Linked DNA regions of Struthio camelus. The protein of the gene in region 1 binds, or shares a complex with, the protein of each later gene. Links are inferred from orthologs where the notes say so. Each region holds a gene or a part of one and is shown on either strand. Other genes may lie near its edges. The genes, in order: RIPK2 and NGFR.

The links.
Region 2: the proteins of RIPK2 (region 1) and NGFR are in contact, whole or in part, in an NMR structure (PDB 2N83), measured with the Homo sapiens proteins. The link is inferred for Struthio camelus from reciprocal best matches to the Homo sapiens genes RIPK2 and NGFR. Residues at the interface, in NP_003812.1 of Homo sapiens: Gln437, Ser465, Arg466, Asp467, Leu468, Met470, Glu472, Asp495, Ile496, Gln497, Gly498, Glu499, Glu500, Lys503, Ile523, Leu524, Val526, Ser527, Arg528, Ser529, Pro530, Ser531, Leu532, Asn533, Leu534, Gln536; in NP_002498.1 of Homo sapiens: Gly334, Leu335, Ser338, Leu339, Pro340, Lys343, Val347, Ser354, Ala355, Asp357, Arg360, His361, Gly364, Glu365, Tyr368, Pro370, Ile373, Asp374, Leu398, Asp399, Leu401, Leu402, Arg406, Arg407, Ile408, Gln409, Arg410, Ala411, Asp412, Val414.

The regions. Positions count from the first base shown.
Region 1 is NC_090943.1:151,163,382-151,173,980, reverse strand, and holds the start of RIPK2 (receptor-interacting serine/threonine-protein kinase 2), read left to right. Parts: upstream 1-6,096; 5' UTR 6,097-6,205; coding exon 6,206-6,393; intron 6,394-7,868; exon of another isoform or gene 7,869-8,008; intron 8,009-9,839; coding exon 9,840-9,993; intron 9,994-10,599.
Region 2 is NC_090966.1:5,124,841-5,135,128, reverse strand, and holds the start of NGFR (tumor necrosis factor receptor superfamily member 16), read left to right. Parts: upstream 1-5,640; 5' UTR 5,641-5,701; coding exon 5,702-5,785; intron 5,786-8,989; coding exon 8,990-9,131; intron 9,132-10,288. UniProt on the Homo sapiens protein: Low affinity receptor which can bind to NGF, BDNF, NTF3, and NTF4. Forms a heterodimeric receptor with SORCS2 that binds the precursor forms of NGF, BDNF and NTF3 with high affinity, and has much lower affinity for mature NGF and BDNF.

The DNA.
Region 1 (10,599 bases):
CAAAGAGCACTGGTTTCCATAGCATTCCCCTGTTGTAGCTCTCATTATCAATAGATTCCTGCACATGTATCACTACGCTGCCGCTGCAGCAGCAGGTAAAACAGGATCTGTCAGAATCCAAACACCTGAAATTTTGTTTCTGAAGATATCAGGACTGGGAACAATTTCCCATTGATATCATCAAGCAGAATTAGTTACTACCAAAATCCTGAATTCCTGGTATATGGATAGTATAAAACATGTATGAAAATATTCTTTAAAATAACCTATTACTAAAAAATGTGCATTCTCTTTTCATGTAACAGCATGGAAAATACACAAAAATCAAGGACAAAGGTGTTGTGATTATGGAATGAAAATTAATTTTCTAAAACATGGTGGTATTGTTTCCTTTATTTAACTCTGCATAAAAATATAACATTCAGGGACCGTCAAGCATTAAGAGAAGAATGTCAGGATATTTAAAATATAGATAACAGGGTATGTCATTTTTGAATCAAACAGTAAAAATACAGTAAAGTTGTATGAGATATATAAAACAGGTAAGTACATAAGAAGTCCATGTTCTGTCATCATGCTTTTATCACTTCATATGCTCATGTACATAGTTTTATCTAAGTGATATAGATTAGTGTATTTAAGATTAGCATTCTCTTGTCCTCAGGTTAGTCACAGGCAATACATTTTGATAACAGATATTAAATATTATATGTTGATAGAAAATTGCATTAATGACCCTGAACAAGTGTCCAATTATCTTTATATGACATAATCACCTTTGCTATTTGATTTTAATTGCTTGCCGTTAGCTTTTTTACTGCTCTGCTAAAAAGATGGCAGCTTGCTATCCATTTCCCCCCAGAATTCTGTGGGCAAGAATATACTTCTATTTTTGCTGGGCCTGGCATTTTAAAGCCTGCCATAAAAGCTATGCCACTTGCAAAATATCTGTAAATACCACAAAAATTAAAGTCGTTTAAAAAACAGGGGAATGTGAAGATATAGTCAAAGAAAGGCTGCGTCCATCAGGCAGGACAGGTGGTGAGCACCACAGTCCTGATGCCACTCTTTGGTGAGAGCTATTGGTAGATCTGCTTTCTGAATATTGCATCACTCTGTATGGAAGCGAGCACATAGGAAGCTGAGGGAAGTGAAGAGGGAGACTATGATGCACCTGTAAAATCTGTGCTCCTGTGAAATCTCTTCCCAGATTTTTTCCAGTTAGCTCCAGTGAGGTGATACATCCAGATAGAGCAGCTGGGAAATACTTATTGCTCCCAAAACACAGTCATAGCCTAAGTAGTTGACACAGTCTTCCAGTTTTGATAGTCTTCTGCCTACTGAGATCAAAGAGGAGCATTCAAGTGTCTCCTTTGCTCTTCATTGTAACTCCTGCTGTTACATTAAGTGTTATCAAGCCACAGTCTATGTAACAGACAAACAAACAAGGACAAAGGACCCGAGCCACGCAGTCAGTGTATACTACATTTTGGCAACTGGGTACAAAACAGAAAGATACCCTTTCTAAAGAACACGAAACAAAGAGAAACTACATTAAAAAGTAAGTATTTGGAAACATGACCCAGATTAATTTAGGGAAAAAATTACTGCTCTTGGGGCAGGAGTAAAGAAGTTGTAGAGATTACATCATAAAACCATAGCTTTTCAAAATCAGAGCATCTTGCCTTGACAAAAAAAACAAAACGTTCACCTACCTGTGCTGTTGTGGAAAGGCAGTTAACCTGGCGAATTTTAAAAACACAACTGAAATTTTGTGTGACACCCATAGAAATGAACGTACTAAAATTCGGCTGGATGGAGGGACAAGACTGCAAAAAATTACTTCAGAAACATGAGTTTATCAGTAAAGACATGCATGCAGTATGTACGCTCATCCTTACATATCTGTATAAATAGGGGAGCTGTGTATTTCAGGCCTATCTTGCAAATGGCAACAACCAGTTCCATAGCTGCATGCTCCTCAGAAAAACAAACACATAAACATTTCTGTATTTTATAGCCTCTTCTCAATATCTCTGTGAATATATCTACAGCAGAAATCTAACAGGTCTTTCCAGTTTATGCTGTCCATAGAGAAGAATGTCAGGAAAGAGATTGCACCTCAGTCTGGAAAACATGAGGAATTTTAATTATCATTTTGTTATCTTTTATACAGAGATACAAGGTGTGAAAAGCATTTTACAAGTCCACAGGTACTGAAACACAGTAGCTGCACTCCTTGATTTCACAACCTGTAAACTAAGCTCATCAATGTAACTGTTGTGCTTTCAAAATCAGTTTTGCCAAATACTTCCTAAATTCAAGAGAGAGCGATTTTTTTTCATTCATTGCACTAACAATCAAGGCATGAGGAACATCACAAAAAATGTACTGTTGCTCAGGGTCTTCACTTATCTCATTTATATGTGGACCTTCAGAAATTCCTATGTGAAGGGAAGAATCAGACCAAAGACTTCTCAATCAGAATGAAAAGGTCAATGGGGGAGTACTCATGGAGGATATGAGCAAGTGAAAAGTTGAAAGAAGAAACAACAAGTCAGCTGTTTATCTGCTACACAGTCCAAGCTTTAGTTTTATCAAAAGCTTAATTTACCTTGAGGATGCCCAAATGAGTAGGGATTCTGCCTACAGCCATATGTGAAGGACCTTGAACCTTCTCTTTTAGTACTAAGGAGTACTTTTTATTATTATGTCCATTAGAGAACAAGCAATGTCAAAGGTACAGTGTGTTGTACCAGGTCATTTATCACCTGATACAGTCAGACAGATGACATATTATAGATTACATCACCTATTCATTCAAATGTGGCAGACTAAATTAGGCAAATAAAGAAGTATTGCATAAAAAACATTAAAAGGTGATTAACAGATTAGCAGTTGTTTTTATTAGTATTCTATGCATCTTCTCTATTGCCAACTGCACATTTTCAAATCACAGTTTAATAGACCTGTTTTGCTAAAGGTCTTTGCAATAACAAGCAAAGCTGTCCTGATTTGGTCTGACAGGCAGCCCCAGGAACAGGAAGAAAAATAAATCTACTTGTACATCCCGCTCCTCATGCTCAGGCTCTGGGACCTAGATTCTGACTTTCTGATTTGTGTTCTTTCTTTATGTCAGGATTACTCAGATATAAATAATCAAGTTAATTTGACCGACCAGAAAGTCTGCTTGCTCACTGCTTTAGAACTTCCTACAGATTTAGGGAGTCTCCTCAGTGAGACTCCAAAAAACTGAAGTGGAAAATGACAATGCTTTGAGATTTAAATACGCTCAAGCTTCTTCTAGAAGAGCACTGTATCCCAATAAATACATTGCACAGGAAAGCACAAACTAGTACAGCCACAAGCAGCTTGACTAGACACTATCTCTAGCAGCGTCTGGCCCATACATCTGATCTGATCACCCTTCTCTTCTTGTAACAATCACACATTTGGGAAGTCCACCACATATTCTTCACTGACAAGAGTTATACTTCCTGTAGGAATGAAGTTTGAGGTGGCACCACTGTTGCATAAACAGATATGGGGAGTTTAACATGCGAGTGCGTAATTTCCTCAGTCCTCATTGTACTGAAGAAGTAGAAACTAATCTGAGCCTGCCATTTAGTTACTGACTACCCTTAAACCCCTTACTGATTTTTCTGGCACGTTGCTTTGCACTTATTACAGAAAGGGATCCTGCTTACTTTTAGAGACACCAAAGCGGTTTTAGGCAAAATCAGGAAGTCTGGGAACATTAAAGTTTAGATGTTTTGTATGTGATAAATAGCTGAAATAAGTCTTGTAGTAATGCAGAAAAACAGTTATGAAAGGTTTTTTCTCACAAAATAATTAAAAATGAGTGATTATAAAGAAAATCAACTACACATACTATGAGCGTAACACAAGCCTTTCAGCTATGAAGCTATGAACCAATTCACAGTTGGGAACAGAGTCAACAGGTATTGTTACACGGCCTTCCTGTATGCCACTACAGTGTGTAAACAGACTTGACTTAAAACCTTAATTATGCAGTTACTCTAAAAATCAGAATATCAAATATAATACTTTAATTGACAGTGTGTTATCTTTGACTTTTACAACCTTAACAGTTTCAGCAGAATCTCAAAGGAATATTTTAAAGCTTTGATCTGCACTGAAATTATTTTGTATTTTAGCAGCACAATTTATGCCACACACCTAGAACTATGAAACCTTAAACCAGCTATGATACCATTTAAGTTATCTGGCAGAATACCTTTCAAAATACTAAAGAAAAAAAGGGGGTTTCCAGATGCAGTAACATTTTGTTCTAATTTTCCCTTTCTAACCCCTCTTTGTCTTGGGAATTTCAAGCACCAGCTTATCTTTCCCGGAACTTGTGAGCCAGTGCGGCAGCAAAACATGCAGCTCCCCACCGTGCTATGGTGACGGAGCTCAAATCAAATGCAGAGTTCCTCTTCCCTTTCCAACCTCACGAGTAAGTCCATGTCTTCAAACTCTGGCATAATTCCTAAAGATCCAAAGCAGCAACTAACTACTTATGCCTGTTACTCGTCCTGTTTTCCTTTACTTTGATGAAAATGAAGTCAATTCTGCTTCCACTCCAGTAGCAGAAACTGATCCACTGTTGTATGAAAACAATGTCATACAGCTTGAGTTGATCCAAAACCCGTTGTTGTCAATAGAAATGGGCAGGATCTTTCAAAATAGTGGAAGACATATAAAACCTCCAAGTCACAAAAACTCTCCACATTTTATAATAAAACAAATAAGTTAAAAAGATTACAGTAATATTTTTGGCACTATTACTGCTCTGCCACTTTTAAAATCACAAACCTTTTCTTTTTTTTAGTAATTTAAAATTATAAATAAACAGGAAATCAGCAAAAACATGTGGCAGCAAGATGTGCAATTAACTTTCTGTACAGTGTCTTACAATTTTCAGTACAGGGACCTTTATAAGCCCTTAATGGGATATACCATAAATATGTCTTTACACAGTGTTTCTGTAGTACGTGCTTACCTTTGGTGTCCACCGCATCTTATTTTCTTTAGGTAAGAAAAACTTTCTTATACAACAAAGTTGAAGCAGGGTAACAAGTAACAGTACTCACATGCTAGATGGAGGGAGAGGCATATACATCGAATGGATGTGTAAACCTTGTGTGCCATAATGCCTAGAGATTACTCTGCGGCGAAACCACCTAGTGTATTTGAAGGATAGAGACTGAAATGAAAGCTGAGCGCAGAATAATTCTAGACTTCTTTATATGACTAATATAATGTTACCACTGTTGCAGCATGGGATACATATCCTCCAAAATACAAGAAAACTGGGGAAAGACAGCATAGATTTGCCACTACCTGAAGTAAAGAGGCTGGGACCGAGACGGAGGACCAGAAAAAAAAAACTGTTAGGCCTTAAAACGCCGTTGACGTATTGCACAACGCCACAGGCTGAAAATCTGGCTTCTCTCCCTCGTCCTCCGCTCCCTACCCGCTCCTGGGAGAGGAGAGGGGGGGAAACGGCCTCCAGGCGGCCCGAGGGGAGAGCTGAGGCCCGCGCCCCGCGCCCCCCGCTCCGGCCTCGGCTCGGAGGCGCCTCGCCGCGCCGCCAGGCCGGGGCTCGGCTCGGGGAGGCGCAGGGCCTCGGCACACCTCCTGCGCGGCCCCCGAGCCCAGCTATCGGCTCGCCGGGCGCATCGGCCCGGGCGCCGCCGGGCTGCCCGTTTCCTCCTTCTGGAAAACTCTCGGAATGCTCTTCTGCGGGCGGAGGGCGCTACCCTCCGACACCCGGCGCGGGGCGCCCCCGCAGGGGCGGCGCGACCTGCCCGCCCTCCTCCTCTATCGGAAAAAGTGAGGAGACACCGGGAAGTGCACGAATGAGCGGCGGCGGCGCGGGGGGCGCCGCGCACCTCCCTCCGGCCGCGGCAGGAGCCCTCTCGCCGCCCCCTCCGGGCAGCCGGGAGCCGGGCCGGGCCGGGCCGCTCTGGCTGCGGCGGGGCGGGGCGGGGCGGGGCGGACGGCGAGGACCTGGCCCCGGCCCCGGCCCCAGCCCCAGCCCCGGTCCCGGCCTCGGCGCCGGGCGCGGCGGGGTGTTGCGTCGCGCCGCGTCAGGTCGGGTCGGGTCGGGTCGGGTCGGGTCGGGTGGCGCCTCCCCCGCGGGGCCGTGGAGTCGCGCCTCCCGCGGCGCAGTGCGAGGATGAGCGGCGGGGAGGGTGGCGGCCAGGCGGGCGCCATCAGCTGCGCCCTGCCCTCCATCCCCTCCAACAAGCTGCCGGACCTGCGCTTCCTCAGCCGCGGCGCCTACGGCACCGTCTCCGCCGCTCGCCACGCCGACTGGCGGGTCCCGGTGGCCCTCAAGAGCCTGCAGGGGCCGCTGCTCGAGAGGTACCGGCGGGGGCAGGGGCCGCGGCCCCGCGTCGGCTGCTGCGAAGCGGTGGCGTTGTCCACCCGCCCACCCGTGGGCGAGCCGGGGAGGGGAGGGCCCGTGTGGCGGAGCTCTGCGAGCCGGGGGGGGCCGTGTGGCGGAGCTTCGCGAGCCGTGGCGGAGCCGGGGGGGGGCCGTGTGGCGGAGCGAGTTCCGCGAGCTGTGGCAGAGCCGGGGTGGGGGGGGTCCGTGTGGCGGAGCGAGCTCCGCGAGCCGTGGCGGAGCCGGGGTGGGGGGGGTCCGTGTGGCGGAGCGAGCTCCGCGAGCCGTGGCGGAGCCGGGGGGCGGGGGGGTCCGTGTGGCGGAGCTCCGCGGAGCCGGGGGGGGGGGTCCGTGTGGCGGAGCGAGCTCCGCGAGCCGTGGCGGAGCCGGGGGGCGGGGGGGTCCGTGTGGCGGAGCGAGCTCCGCGAGCCGTGGCGGGGGCGGGGGGGTCCGTGTGGCGGAGCGAGCTCCGCGAGCCGTGGTGGAGCCGGGGTGGGGGGGTCCGTGTGGCGGAGCTCCGCGGAGCCGGGGGGGGGGGTCCGTGTGGCGGAGCGAGCTCCGCGAGCCGTGGCGGAGCCGGGGGGCGGGGGGGTCCGTGTGGCGGAGCGAGCTCCGCGAGCCGTGGCGGAGCCGGGGGGCGGGGGGGTCCGTGTGGCGGAGCTCCGCGAGCCGTGGTGGAGCCGGGGTGGGGGGGTCCGTGTGGCGGAGCGAGCTCCGCGAGCCGTGGCGGAGCCCGGGGGGGGGTATAGAGTATATGGAATATGTAGTGTAGTGCATAGAATATATTACTGTGTGCGCTGCCGAGTGCAGGGACCCAGGATAAGCTTCTCCAAGACAAAACATAATAGATTTTTGCCCCAGATCGCAGGTACTGAGACAAGCTGGTTGGGAATGGTAGGTGTGTAGGGCTCTTGCCTACAGGTGATATCTCCCTTAAGCTCTGCAGCTCAGCCGTCGTGTTCCCCGCTCTTCTGGGCACCAGGTTGTAGCCTGTTTGCCGCAGGAGTTGTCGTCCTAAATAAGGATGCAGCAGGCTGTAGTTTTCTTCCACCTCTGCCTCCTTCACTCTCTACAGTGCCTCTTTTTTAACCAGGTCGATGCCAGTTCATCTTAGGCTGTTGAAGACTATAAACTTGCCCCTTTTTTTCTTATCTAGGTGACTTTCGCCTCCATGAACTCATTTCTTTGGATCTAGTGTTAGGTGTTCAGGCAGAATAACTTCACTGAAGTACAGATAGCCATGTCTATGTGTGCGTTTGTGTGTGTATGTGTACACCAGAGGGACAGGGGGGTGCATATACCTGCGTGTGTGTATATACATGCATGTAAAAACTTTTCAACTTTCCTCAATGTTTTTTCTTTATATTAAATTATCTGCTTCAATCCCCGCTTATCCTGAATATAGCGCTTCTCCTTTCAAATTGATTGGGAAAGAACAGTCAATAGTATTTCTAGCCTTGCCAGAATTTAGATCAGTGTGACATGAAATCCAGGAAGTTTTGACAAAGGGGGAAACTGAGGCAGTCAGAACAACTCAGCCCTCAGCCGTGGATCATGCAGAGCTCGGAAATGCTACGAGAATAACCTAAAGCTGTAAGAAATGCTGCGCCTGAGTTTTTGTGACAAGAAAATTGTCAGTGGTGTTGTAGGTAGCGTAAGAGTTTGGTCTGTAAGTGCTGTCAGGAAAAGGGAAGTTCACAGTGCAGTTAACTCCCCAAACAGGAAGCCTGCGCTGTGCATCCCAGAATTTGGTCTGTGCGACCTGCTGAGCAGCAGAGCCTGTTTGGAAGCTGTTGTGGGCTTGCACTAGCTTTGGCATTACTCAATGCTCTTCCGCTATGGAGCGGAGAAAGGTGAACTAATTTATAGATCCAGGAACAACCCTCGGTATGTTGCAACTTGTTTCCCAGTTACAGCAGAATCTCATGCAGATCTGCCTCATAGCCTGGGAAAACCCCTACTTTCTCTAAGCTAGTGTTTTTTGGAAGGAGAGAGTTACATCCCTGGCTTTCCTTGAGGCCTGCCTTTTCCCTCAGATCATTTTCTAGAGTTTCCTGTAACAGGAGGGTTTTTTTTTTTCTCCATCATGAAGATGTTTTGCTTTCTATTTCCTACATATTGAAAGCAATTTCACATACCTCTAAATTTTAAATTCTTCTGTCATAAAAGCAGCAAGCTTTAGTTTTCTAGGCTTCCTTTTTTCCCCCATGTACTCTGAAGGCCTTCTGATTGTGAGGGCTAGGTCTGCACTGACGGGTCCAGACAGACTTGAACTCTTCTGTCGATCCAGCGCAGGGCACAGACTAAAGCCAGCTCTCATCTGGGAGCGGTATGGCCGTATTAATATGGCAGTGCACTGAGCAAATCTTGATCGGCGTTGACTGTTAGCCTGTGTGCAGCCCTGCACACCTGATGGCTTCTGAATCAGGCTGCCTGGTCAGTCTTAGATGGGCTGCAATAGTCCAGCATTTGGATATCCCAGTCATGCACTTGTATCTGTACCAGGCTCCACTGATGTAAAAGCTAAATCTTTTTTTCTTAGAATTATCTTTCTTAGTCCGAGTATCCTCAGTATTAATAACCTGTTTGTTCAAGAACTTTTGAGACATAAAACGTGTCAAAAAATTGTCTTCGTTATTCTTAGGAACAGAAGTGTACTCTTACTTTGTTTTAAATAAAATTTCAGCTGCTTATATTCGTATGCAGCAAGGTATACTTACATGTTTGTAAAGATGCCTCAAGTTCACGTTTATGAGGAGGCTTGGCCTTAGCAAAGAATATTCACACCACCGAATTCAGGTGGTCAGGTGTCAGGTCAGCTTCGCTGTGCTCCCTGTATAATCAGAGAGCACTTTCTCCAGAGGCCAATTCAAACAGGGCCCAGTCTAAGAGAAGAGTTTATGTGATGACAAAGCATACTTGATCATTACTTTTCCTTCAGAAACTGAAATTGTACTCCTTTAACCGACATTATTTTAGTGCACAGCAGTGCTGACTGAGTTAAAACAATTGGAGACCTGTGAGCAAAGTGTTAAATTCTCCATTTTACAGTAGACAAATAGTGGTCGTCCTTGAAAACTCAATATTTGAAGATGGGCAGTAAAATAGGATAAATATAGTTAGATATTACTGTCATTATGGTTAGACAGGATGGTAGAAGTTGGAGTTCTCGTTATGTCCTCATTTACTGGAAACACGGAGGAAATGTGTTGTGTGGTACAACAAAACTAGAGAAGCTATCTTGTGCTTGCATTTGTAGATTCTAATTTGTCTTTCCGTATTTTGTTATAGAAACTGCGTAGTAGGAAATAAATTGTGAAAGATGGTGCTACTGCATATAGGAACACAATTATATAAAGTGAATTGAATGAACCTTACCTTTGCAGTATTAGTACAGTAACCCCTTTTTTCCTTTTTCTTTAAGTGATAGAAACCACCTTCTGAAAGAAGCAGAGATATTACACAAAGCCAGGTTTAGTTACATTCTGCCAATTTTAGGAATTTGCAATGAGCCTGAATTTCTGGGGATAGTAACAGAGTACATGACAAATGGATCATTAAACCAGCTTTTACATGGGGTAAGTCTGCTTGAAGCTCTTCAATACAATCCCTGGTTGGTTCAAATATACTGTGATATCCATTCTAAAGGGAAGTGGTGTAGTAAAATTTAATATTAATAATATTTCAAGTTAAAGAACAGCCAGCATTGGTACTGGTTTTCATTGCTCAGACTTTCTTCTCCCTAAAAAGACAGCTGAAGTCAGTAGACTTCAGTTTTAATACGCTCTTTCCTTTAATACTCTGCTCTGTAACTCGCTTAATGACGAATTATTATATATAGTCACTTAAAAAAATCTCTGAGGTTCTCTAGTTAGAAGCAGAAGTAGTTACGCTCACTTCGGTCTGTGTTTCAGAAATGTTGGCAGTGTAAATATCACAAAAAGATGGATTTATCTCCTTAAGATGACCTTTTTTAAAAAAATTGAATATTTTGACTCTATATTTGCGAATATTGCAAATCTAAGCAGATACGGATATTTCTGTTGGGCCTTACTTTCAAGCGTAGGTCAGCTTGTGCTGAGCTCTCAGCTGCTTCCGCTAGCTTGATCTGAGCATCCCATGTTCTAGTTTAAAGCTACTGCAGTTGTCTCCACAGCACTGTACCTCTTCTGTACCTTTAATCG
Region 2 (10,288 bases), on another chromosome or scaffold:
CTTGCCTGAGCATCATTGGGATGAGGCTACGGAGGCCCCCAGCATCCTTGAAAGTGGACAATTTGGGGAAAAAGACAAGAGGAGGGGGGTCTGCAGGGACACAAGGGCTTAAACTCCAGGTTGGCCCTCAAGCCAGTCTCCTGGGGGGTTGGAGGAAAGCTGGAACAAAGCATTTGGAGAACACATGGGTCCAGCGTGTCCCGAGCAGCGTGTGAGGCTGGAACGGGGTCGCTTGCACCGCTGGACATCCCAGCCCAGCTTTCCAAGCAGAAAACCCCCCATTGGCCTCCTCTCCTTGCAGCGCCGCGGTGGAAAACAGCCTGTGATCTGCTCCTGCCCTGGGCCAGGCTGGGAGGTTTCGTGCCTCCGCTTTGTGCTCAGACGCACACAAAAGCGGCTGCAAGGAGGAGGATGCTGCAGCCGGGGCCTGCTGAAAGCAGTTGCCATAGGGACATTATCGCCCAGCGTCAGCCTGGACTTCTTTGCTCCCGCTCCCTCCTTGCCTTAGCTTTCACCCTCCTTGGCATCGGTGTCAGGGAGCCGAATTCAGACTGTGCAAGCGAAACCTCCCCACCGCGCACGGCGGCCGCGCCGGGGCACCGAGCCGCGGCGTCTCGGCGGCAAACCCACCGCCCCGCTGCCAGCTCCGCGCCGGCCCCGCTGCATCCCCCGTGGTGTCCCCGGGAGTCGCACGACACACCCGCGTTAGCTGACATCCCCGACACCGTCATTATTCCAAGAAGCCAAACTCGCTCACGCTCTTTTTCCCCCGCTAAGTGCTCCAAAATACTTTGAATTGTAATCAAAACTGCAGGAGACGATACGAAGCTTTCGCCTTTCAATGTGGCGGATTGCATTGTTGCGTTAGAAGGAGAACAAGCGGTTATCGTTAAGGTTCCTCTCGCCGGGTTTGCCTGCACCAGTGACAGCCGGACAACCACCACCACGTTGCAGGGCTTCAGCTTGCGGGACCGACAGATGCCGGGAGGCTCTGGAGCAGCTTTGCGCTCTCCTGGGCTGTAGGCATCCATACCGGGGCTCTAGCAGTGTAATTACATCCATATGGAAAAGCCGACGCTGCTACCCAGCCCTGGGTGGCCCAGGCTGGAGAGCAGCAACGTGCCCTTCCCGGGACCCTTCGACCAGGGCCTGCCCGGGAGGAAACGTGCTGTCCTAAGAGCTGCAATTTGGAGCATAAAATGAAAAAAGAGCCTTTCCCAGGCACTGCTGCGCTCAGTTTTCTCTCTCCTGGGGCTGGCGGACGCAGCCCTCTAGCTCCAAGGCACCGGCGGGTTTGGTGCAAGCCTGGTGGCTAATGAAATATGCAGAGACAGAGCTAATTGGCAAACGGTTCGTCCTGCTGGAAAGCACTCAGCCGCCAGCCGGGATGTTCAGCCCCCGCGGCCGGGCTTTGGCTGGCATCAGGAGAGGTCTGGGTTCGTTATAAAGCTCTAATCTGATCAGGTTTATGAAAGGCTTGGAGGAAGTTGCAGCGCGATGGTGCAGGATGCTGCTCAAAGGTGGAGACGAAACGCCCGTCCGCAGGGGCTTTAACCGAGCGGTCCTGGAAAGAGCCCCAATAGCTCTATGCACGCAGCAAAACAGCAGCTCCCCTTTCCAGCTAGCTCTGAGCTCGGCAGGGATGCATGGGGAAACTGAGGCACGGTGAAGTTGCAAGCTGTATTGCTAATACGTCCGCCAACACAGACCCCACTTGGTGTGGGGCAGATGCCAGGAGTTGGGGGGAAGAGGCAAAACGCCCCTGGACCTTGCCTGGGCAACATGCAGTCTGAAAAAAACAGCTGAAAAAAACATCCCATAACAGAGTAAGCATCGAGTCATTAAAATTAATGCCTATTTTTTGCAGGGAGGGAGAAAAAAAAAAAAAGAAACAGCTGAGAGAGCCAGGAAAAACCTCCCGCTGAGTCCTGCTGCCCAGGCTGCGCCGCCTGCCTTGCTCCGTCCTTATCGACGCAGCCAAGGGTTTGACATTCATTTCCTCCCAACAGCAAAATTCTTGATCCATCAGCAACAAAACTGAATCAATGGGTTCCCAAAAGCTGGGCTGGTGAGAAGAAAGCCAGCCCTGCCCCTGACATGTGGAACCAATCAATACCTTAACCAGAAAAATATTGATACTCTTGCTGCTGTGGACATATTTATGTCCTTTATTATACGTGTCACCAGGAGTGACTTTTTTTCTGCCCCTTGCCTGGCTCTGAATGCAGTCTCTCATTTTAAATTTTGCAAAGTCTCGTTTCTCGGGGAGGGAGATGGAGGGAAATCACGGTCTGTTTTTACTGTCTCACTATTTTACCATCGCTCCATCCCGAGAAGGGATTGAGTTTCCTGGACACTGTGGTCTCTGCTCTCAGGAGATTGCTTCGGTCATTCCTTATAAGGAACCAAAGATTCATTTCACACATTACCATGAATACCCCCCGCTGCTCTTCAGGGTGATGGATTGCACTGAAAGAACAGTTAAAGAAGGAAAAAAAGGAACAAAGGGAGGATGGGCAACCTGAAAGCAGGAGATTAACAAGGGAAAAAGAGGCTGGAGGATTAGAAAGAAGCATTAGGAGAAATTATAGGAATGGATATCAAGGGGTGTAATAAAAACCAGATTGGAACACTTTGATATTAATGGAAATCAGGTTTTTGGGGAGTTGGGGAATGTTATATCCCTTCTACCTCAGAGCGACGGGTTTAGGGTGCTGCAGCCTCACGAGCCCGAAGCCGAACACCCTCGACCCGAGATCCTCCCCACCGGGGCGATTTCGGGCCAGCATCCAGCTGCTCCAGGCTACCCGGGGGCTACAGCCAACCTCGCAGCCCTGCAGAGGGGTGCCCAGGCACCGAGGTGGCCCCGCACCAGCCCGGCCGCCCCGCGGGGTCCCAGTGCCGGGCAGGACGGCGGCAGGAGGGACGGGGCCTTGCGCCGGGGCCGCCGTGCCCTGGGCGAGTGCCTTGCACTGATTTGGAGGCAGGATGCGGGAGCCGCGAGGGCACCTCCGAGTCGGAGACCCGGCTCTCGCGGCTCTTCCCCGGACACACCGGTATTAGTGAGTCCTTGCAACGCTCCAGGAAGGGGAAAGGGGTGTGGGGGGGTTATCAGCAATCCCTCCCCAGCTTTCTAAACCAAGGGAGCAGTTTTGCCATGGTAAAATAGCTCCGAGCCCGGAGCCGCGTGCGTTGGCTGCGGTTTTGCCGGGGAAGGCGTTCGGCCGTTTCTAGATCGCAGTTTGAGACGGAGCCGTTCTTCCCCGCGCTCCCCGTCGGCCCCCTCACGGGAAATAAGCGGGCGGTTTTGGAGCTGCAGAGACGCCGAGGAGAGCACGCAGGCGAGCAGCCCGCCTGTGCGCCTCGCTCCGCGCGCGTCGACCTTGGACTGGATCCTCGAAAGCTTTTACGTGCCTAAATCCCATTGATTTAAACGAGGATCAGAGGCTCAAATACCACGGGAGCCCTTGGCCTCAGCTCATTGCTTCCTGCTCTCCAGCGGTGGGCTTGGCTCTCGCCAAGGGTCCCAAGCGGGCCAAAATGGTTCAAATGAAAAGGTCTCATTTCCTATTGGAAAAAGTGAATTTTCTTTAACCAAAAAAAAAAAAAAAGCCTTGTTTATATGAATTCCTCTCCACCCTCCAGAGACTGTCTTTGGAGAAAAACCCTTACGGTTCCTGGCAAGGTGCAATCCTCCAGCCCTGCCTGAAGGCAGCCGCAATAGCCCCGCGTTTGGGCAGATCACCCTCTGGGATTATCCCCAGCCCGGATTTCCTCCCCGTTCCCCGCGAAGGGACGCGCTCCCGCCCGGCCCGTCCGTCGCTCCCCAGCGGTCCCAGCCCACCGATGACGCCTCTCGCCTCGCCGGACACCAAAGCCCGTTTCACAATGGTTTTTTGCGCGCTCTGCTCATTGCAGCCCTTTATTTATGCTCTCAGCCCTGGCTGTGAACGGCCCGGGCAGCGCGATGAGATTGTCTCGATATGTATTATTTATTCATCGTTATTTATAACTTACCATTACCGCGCTACTGTCTTTGTCGGGAAAGTAATTACCTACGCTTTTTAGTAAAATCGATACAAAGTTTGCAGGCAGGAACTAGCGGGGAGTGTTTAACCGGAGCCTATTTCTGGGGGCTCCGGTGGGTCCTCGTGGGGCGACGGGGGACAAGCTCGCCTGGGTTCGCTCGGACACCTTTGGCCTTCACGAGCGCTCGGGGAAGACCCGGCCGAGCCTAAAGACGAAGAGCGAGAGAGCTCGTTGCTCCAAGGATGCTCTGTCCTTGAGCGAGACTTAATGGGATATTTCACCAGTTGGGCTTTCGCTAGTCAAACCTGCCTTTATCCGGGGGAGGGAGGCACCCGCGAGCGCGGCCGTCCCGGCCTCGCCGAGCAGCTCTTGCCGGCGACGTTTCCACCCTGCTCCATCCGCGCCGGCCAACGACACGGCCTCGCGCATCCTCGCCGGCCGTGCAGCTCGCTCCGGCTGCAGGGTGCAAGCGGAGGGCGATGCCGGCGCAGGCTCTGGCCCCGCTCGGCGTTGCCGCAGGGTCGATCCAGAGCGAGCCACATCAAAGCTGCGCTCCGCCAGCAAATAAATCCTTTGAGCCTTTGGTTTTAATTCGCAGAGGCAACCGCAGACCTTTAAGAGCCCCTCCGTCACTGCACAGAGCCAGGAAAGGGCTGCGAGCTCTTTGGGACAGAAAAACGCGCGAGGGGGATTTAAGGAAAAGCGCCGGCGAGACCGTTCGCCGAAGCAGCCGCGGAGGGTTACGCCGGGAGCAGAAGTTTCCGCTCACCTTCGCTGCTGCCGCCCGGCCTAGCGGACATTTCGGGGCACAGTGGCACCCGACAGCGTCCGCTGGGTCATTTTCAAACCAACCTGCTTTATCAAAGCCACCATAAAACCCCCCCAGAAAGAGCCCTTCCGGCCCCGGCGCGCTCTGGCGAGCCCCCCCCCACCGGCAGCACCGCGCTCAGCTGCCCGGGCCGGGGTCCGTCACCGAGGCCGGGGAAAGGCCGCGACGCTTTCGACCCTCTCTGCCCGCTAGCGCGGTTTAACCCATCGCTGCAGGCTCAGGCCGAAGCAAGACAGAGTTGTCCTTGTAATAAAAGCGGGAAGCTTTGCAGGACGCGAAGGAAACCGATGCGGTTGCGTCAGTGCCGAGGGTGGGTTTACGGACGGTCCCCCTGGGGCGCGCACGGGGGGGACGTCGCCCCCCCCAACCCGGTCCCCGAGGGCTGCGATGGGCCAGGCAGCAGCTCGGGTGCCCGGGCGAGGGGGTGTCTCCAAAGCGGGCGCCTGCGGGACCACTGTCCCTGCCTGGAGGAGGTCCGGTCACCCCATCCCGTGCGCCCCGGAGCATCTCGGCGGGCTGCGACGTGACCAGCCATCGGGGGGCCGGAGCGGGACGAGGCGGGCGGGCGGCCGAGGGTGCAGGGGGGCAGGCGGGCGGCGGCGGCAGGTGCGGCGGGGGCGCGGCGCGGGGGGCTGCCGGGGGTCGGCAGCAGGGTGCTGGCTGGCGCGATGCTCCGGGGGCGGAGAGGACGAGGAGGAGGAGGAGGAGGAGGAGGGACTTGCAGGCCTTTTTTCGCCGCTGCCGGGGCGGCGGGCGGGCAGAGGGAGGCAGCCCGGCCGCGGCAGGCGCTGCTCGGCTCGGGGCGGGGGGGGGATGTGAGGCGGCGCCGCCGCCCCGGGGACCATGGCCGGGCTCCTGCCGCCGCCGCTGCTGCCGCTGCCGCTGCCGCCGCCGCTGCTGCCGCTGCTGCTGCTGCTGCTGCCGGCGGTGAGTGCCGGGGCGCGCCCGGAGGGGCCCCGCCATGGAGCATCCCCGGGGGGGGGGGGGCTGCGCAGCCCGGGCAGAGGCACCCCGAGGCACCGGGCTGGAGCAAGGGGACTCCCAAACACGCAGGCTGGAGGGTCCCCGAGGCACCGGGATGGCGAGTCCTGAGGATACGGGAGCGGCGGGTCCCGGGGGACCCGCCTAGAGCACCCCTGGGTGCCGAGGGAGGGAGCAGGGGGGGGCGGCGGGACCGGGCAGACACGGCTTGCGCTACCCCGAGCAGGGGGCTCAGTCACCCTTTTCCACCGGGAAGGCTGATACAAAGGGCAGTGCACGGCGGGGGGAGAAAGCAATCCCCACCCTGGTAGCCCCATCTCCCACCCTCCGGTGTCTGCACATCTCCCCCAGACCTGCCTTGCCCTTCCCGGCTCCAAACCCGCTTCCCCGGAGCGTGGGAAAGAGCCCCCTTCCCCGGGGCGAGCCCCCAGCAAGGGCGACAACCGGAGCCGAGACTTCGGGGCAAGGGGGAGCCCAGGAGAGGGGAAAAACCAGGAGCAGAGCAGACCTACGGCCCTGCCTGGGGCAGACACAGGGCTTTTGCTGCAGGACGGTTTGGTGCGGGTCCCCGAGGTTTCGTTAGGCAGCAGGACACCTTTCGGACGGGGCGTTAAACCTGGTGCTTTAGCCAGTGTGGCGCAGAGACCTGGATGGAGAGCGCTGTTCCTTGCTCCGCTCCGGAGGGTCTCCATCCCCGCGGACGCCGGGTACCGCTGCGGAGAGGAGCGGGGCTGGCCGCGCTCGCCCCGTCCCCGAGGCCGCTCGGTGGCAGACGGAGAGGCAGGAACCGTGCTGGGGAATCGATTGAAACGATTTCGCCCCCGGGGAACAACGGCCCGGGGAGGGGGGGCAGCCAGGCGTAGGCGTCCCCCGCGACCACCTCGCGGGGTCCCGGCTGAGCGCCGAGAGAGGACGGCGGCGGCTCGTCGCCAGGGCACTTGCCGGCGTTTAGCGCTGGATGTGACCCCCTAGGCTTAGACCTGCCAAGTCCATCCGGTCCTGGGAGCCGGGAGAGGGAGCGGGCAGAGCCCGGCTGCTGCTCCGGCTCCTGCCCGGGGGGGGGCCGCGATCCAGCTGTGCGGCCACCGCTGCGGCCAGCGGCCCGACAACCCGGCCGTGGGAGCCGTGCCGCCCCTCGCCTCCGCTCTCGGCCCGCACCGCTCGGAGGGCGGCCGAGCCCCGCGGGACCCGCCGCGCCGAGGCTTGGCGGCACGCGCCGGATTCAGACGCGGCTTCCTCCCTCCGCTGCCCCAAGTTTGGGGATCGCTCGGAGCCAGAAAGGGGGGTGGGAGGTGGGGGCACATCGCCAAGAAGCGCGGCGGCCCCCGCCCCGGCAGGCTGGCGGGCGCTTCGCGTCCCGGCTTGCAGCTGGGCCCGTCTCCAGCCGCGGCGGCGAGGCCGGCCCCCCGCCCCAGCGCCTTTTCCGCGCCAGCGTTTCGGCGGTGATGGCGATGGTGCGTCGCCGAACCGGCGCGCTGCGAGAACCCTTCCTCCAGGGCCAGCTCCACGCCGGCCCGCTCTGCCGCGAGAGCAAAACGGGCCGGCGCCACTCAGCAAGCGGTTAAAAGCCCGCAAAGGCGTCGTGCTCACCCTCAGCACGTCCCCCCCCAATCCCCCCCCCCCCCCCAAAAAAACCCCTTTTCGGTCCAGCTGTCAAAAACGCTTTACGGCGTTAATACCTGCGGCTTTGTCAACAGGCGCTGCGGTAACGAGGCGCACGTGCCAGCGGTCGCGCGCGGACCCCCGCGCCCCTCTTGCAAGCGCCCTGGTCTTTCCGGGGGTTTGGGATATCACGTTTTTGCACGCCGCTGAGCGGCGCCGAGGCGGCCGGCGGGCAGGGACAGGCGGCAGCGGCGGCTCCTGCGTCGCGATGCAGGGCATCCCTGGGTGGCAGAGCCGGGGTTGGGGCCGGGGGGGGGGGTCCGGGAAGGAAGCGTTGCAGCCAGACCCCGCCGGGGCAGCCCGCACGGAGCGGCGTGGGAGAGCTGGCCGCGTCGGCCCCAGCTGCGCTGGCCCGCTCCTTCCCAGCGCTATTTATAGCGAGGCGCGTTCGGTAGCTCCCCCGGTCCAGCTGCCGCTCCCCCCCCCAACCCCGGCGCGGGCCGCCTGCCAGGACCCCCCCACGCCGCAGCAGACCCCTGCCCCAGCCGGGGGGACTGGCGAGCGGCAGCCCGCGCTCTGCCAGGAGGTGCCGCGGGCAAGCTCCGGCCGAGCTGGATTTGTCCCGCTGGAGAGGCATCCGGCTGCACGAAGCAAGCCCGTTTCCCAGCTGTCGTCTGGGGGTGCAGGGAGGGTCCCCGCCCCCCCCCCCCGGTGCCAGGGCCCAGCGCCGCGGAGGGCGGCGAAGCAGCACCAGCGCCCAGAGCACATGCTTTCAAGCGCAGGGTAATTGGAGCACTTTGTCATTCAAATGCCTATAATTGGCGCTCCATTGTCTCCGGCCGGATGATGCACAGAGCCGAGTTCATAACTGGAGCCGAGTTCATAACCGGCGCTGGCCGAGGAGGCGGCCAAGAGGCCGACAAGGCAGCCGGAGGCCCAGGGAGCGGAGACGCGGGGAGGCGGCATCGCCTCCCGGCCCCGGGCAGGCGGCAGCTCGCGTTTCTTCCTGCAAAGACGGCTTAGCTCAGCGTCCCCAGCACCTTCTGCCCCTCCTGCCCATCCTTCCTTCTGCACAAACGCAGCCCTGGCTGCAGCACGAGGGAGCAAGAAATAGCCCTGGCAAAGACTCGGGTAGCCCCTAGCCCCGCTTCCCACGCCCCAGCGGACCCGGCCAAGAGGTGTTTTGGGGACCGGCCGGTCCGCGAACGCTCCCAGAGCTGCAAAGTGCATGTGCAGAGCTGCCCTGACCGCACCGCTTGCGGCGGGTTTATTGCTTCCAGATGAGGCAGCAGGCTGCTCTGCAAGCAAATACGCTGCCTTGCGTTAGGCAGCAACGCCGCTAAGGGTCTCGGGGCTCTCTCCAAAGTCACTTCCATTGCGGGGGGGCTCTGATTTCAGGTCCCCACATACAGTAAAATCACTGCACTGAGCTGGGACCCAGGTTTCCCGAATCGCCCGCTGCCCGGACGGGATGCGTTTCTCCACCTGCCCTCGCAAGGGGCAAGCCCCGTAACGACAGTCGCCTCCGGGCTCCCTTTTCTCTGGCAGGGACCCGCCTGGGCCTCCAAGGACAAGTGCTTCACCAAGATGTACACGACGAGCGGGGAGTGCTGCAAAGCCTGCAACCTGGGCGAAGGCGTCGTGCAGCCCTGCGGCGTGAACCAGACCGTCTGCGAGCCCTGCCTGGACAGTGAGTAGGGCGGCACGCGCTCCCCTCCGCCGGAGGGGCTTTGGGCGTCGTGAGCGTTAGCAGAGCCTCGGCTCTCCCCGCGTGCATCCTCTTGCCTTCCCCGGAAGCGTTGCTTGGGCGGGATCGGCAGATTGTTTTGCCCTTTGTCTCAACGAGGGAGCAGAAGTCCCGGGCACGCACCAGCTCCGCCGTGCTCGCCGCCTTCCCAGGCCACCAACCTCCACCCGAGCAGCCCAGATGTCAGGGTTACTTCCAGCATTTCCCCAAAGCCACGGGACACCCGTGCCCAGCCCCAGACACGGCAGCTCTGGGGCAGCAGCCTGGGCAAAACCCCTTCAGCCCACGGCACGTTGCCACGTCCCTCTTCCTCCCTTCCTTCCCCGAAGGCTCCCCAGCTACGGGTCAGTGGCCAAGCTTTGCCTCCGACACTTTCCCCTCCCCAGGCCGACTCCGCGTTGGTCTCCGATCCGGCCCCCGTCTCCCCATGAGCCCCCTGTATTTTTTAAGGCAGCAAAACCTGCAGAATAGAAGCGAGGTTGGTGGGAGCGAGGCAAATCACAGCGGTCGCCACCAGAGCGGGAGCAGAGCTTGCTGCCGGCCGGCTCCAGGCACATTGCCTCTGCCAAACACTTCCTAAAAGTCAGAGATGAGTGCTGGCCACCTGGATAAATGCTTACAGATGAAGCGGCCCAACTATTATTATTTATACAATGCCACGATATGCACAAGCAATCTGCCCCCTAAATTTACTGCTGCAAACTCTCTGAAGGCCTCAAACAGGGCTGAGGACAGGCACGAGCAGCATCGTCTGAGCCATCCGAGCCCGTGCCGCCCCGAGGGTGGGGGGCGACAGGGGAAGGGGCTGGCGAGCCCTGGGAAAGGGATGCCGGTTTTGCAAGCCAAAGGGCTGCCAGAAAGTCAGGGCAGCGCCGGCGCGGAGCGGGGGAACGGAGCAGCGTGTCAGTGTAGCGCTAAAAATACCTCTGCCTTCCTGCAAAATCAATGCACGGCACTTACGCTGCGAGCGACGGGCAGCAGCGGCCCGGGGGACCGACCGCGTGCCCGGCTGTAACCTTGGGGCTCCTGTATGAGCTAGCTCGGACCTGTGCCGGCTCCGAGCCGGAGCATCCCGCTGCCGGGGCACCAAGCCTGGGGTT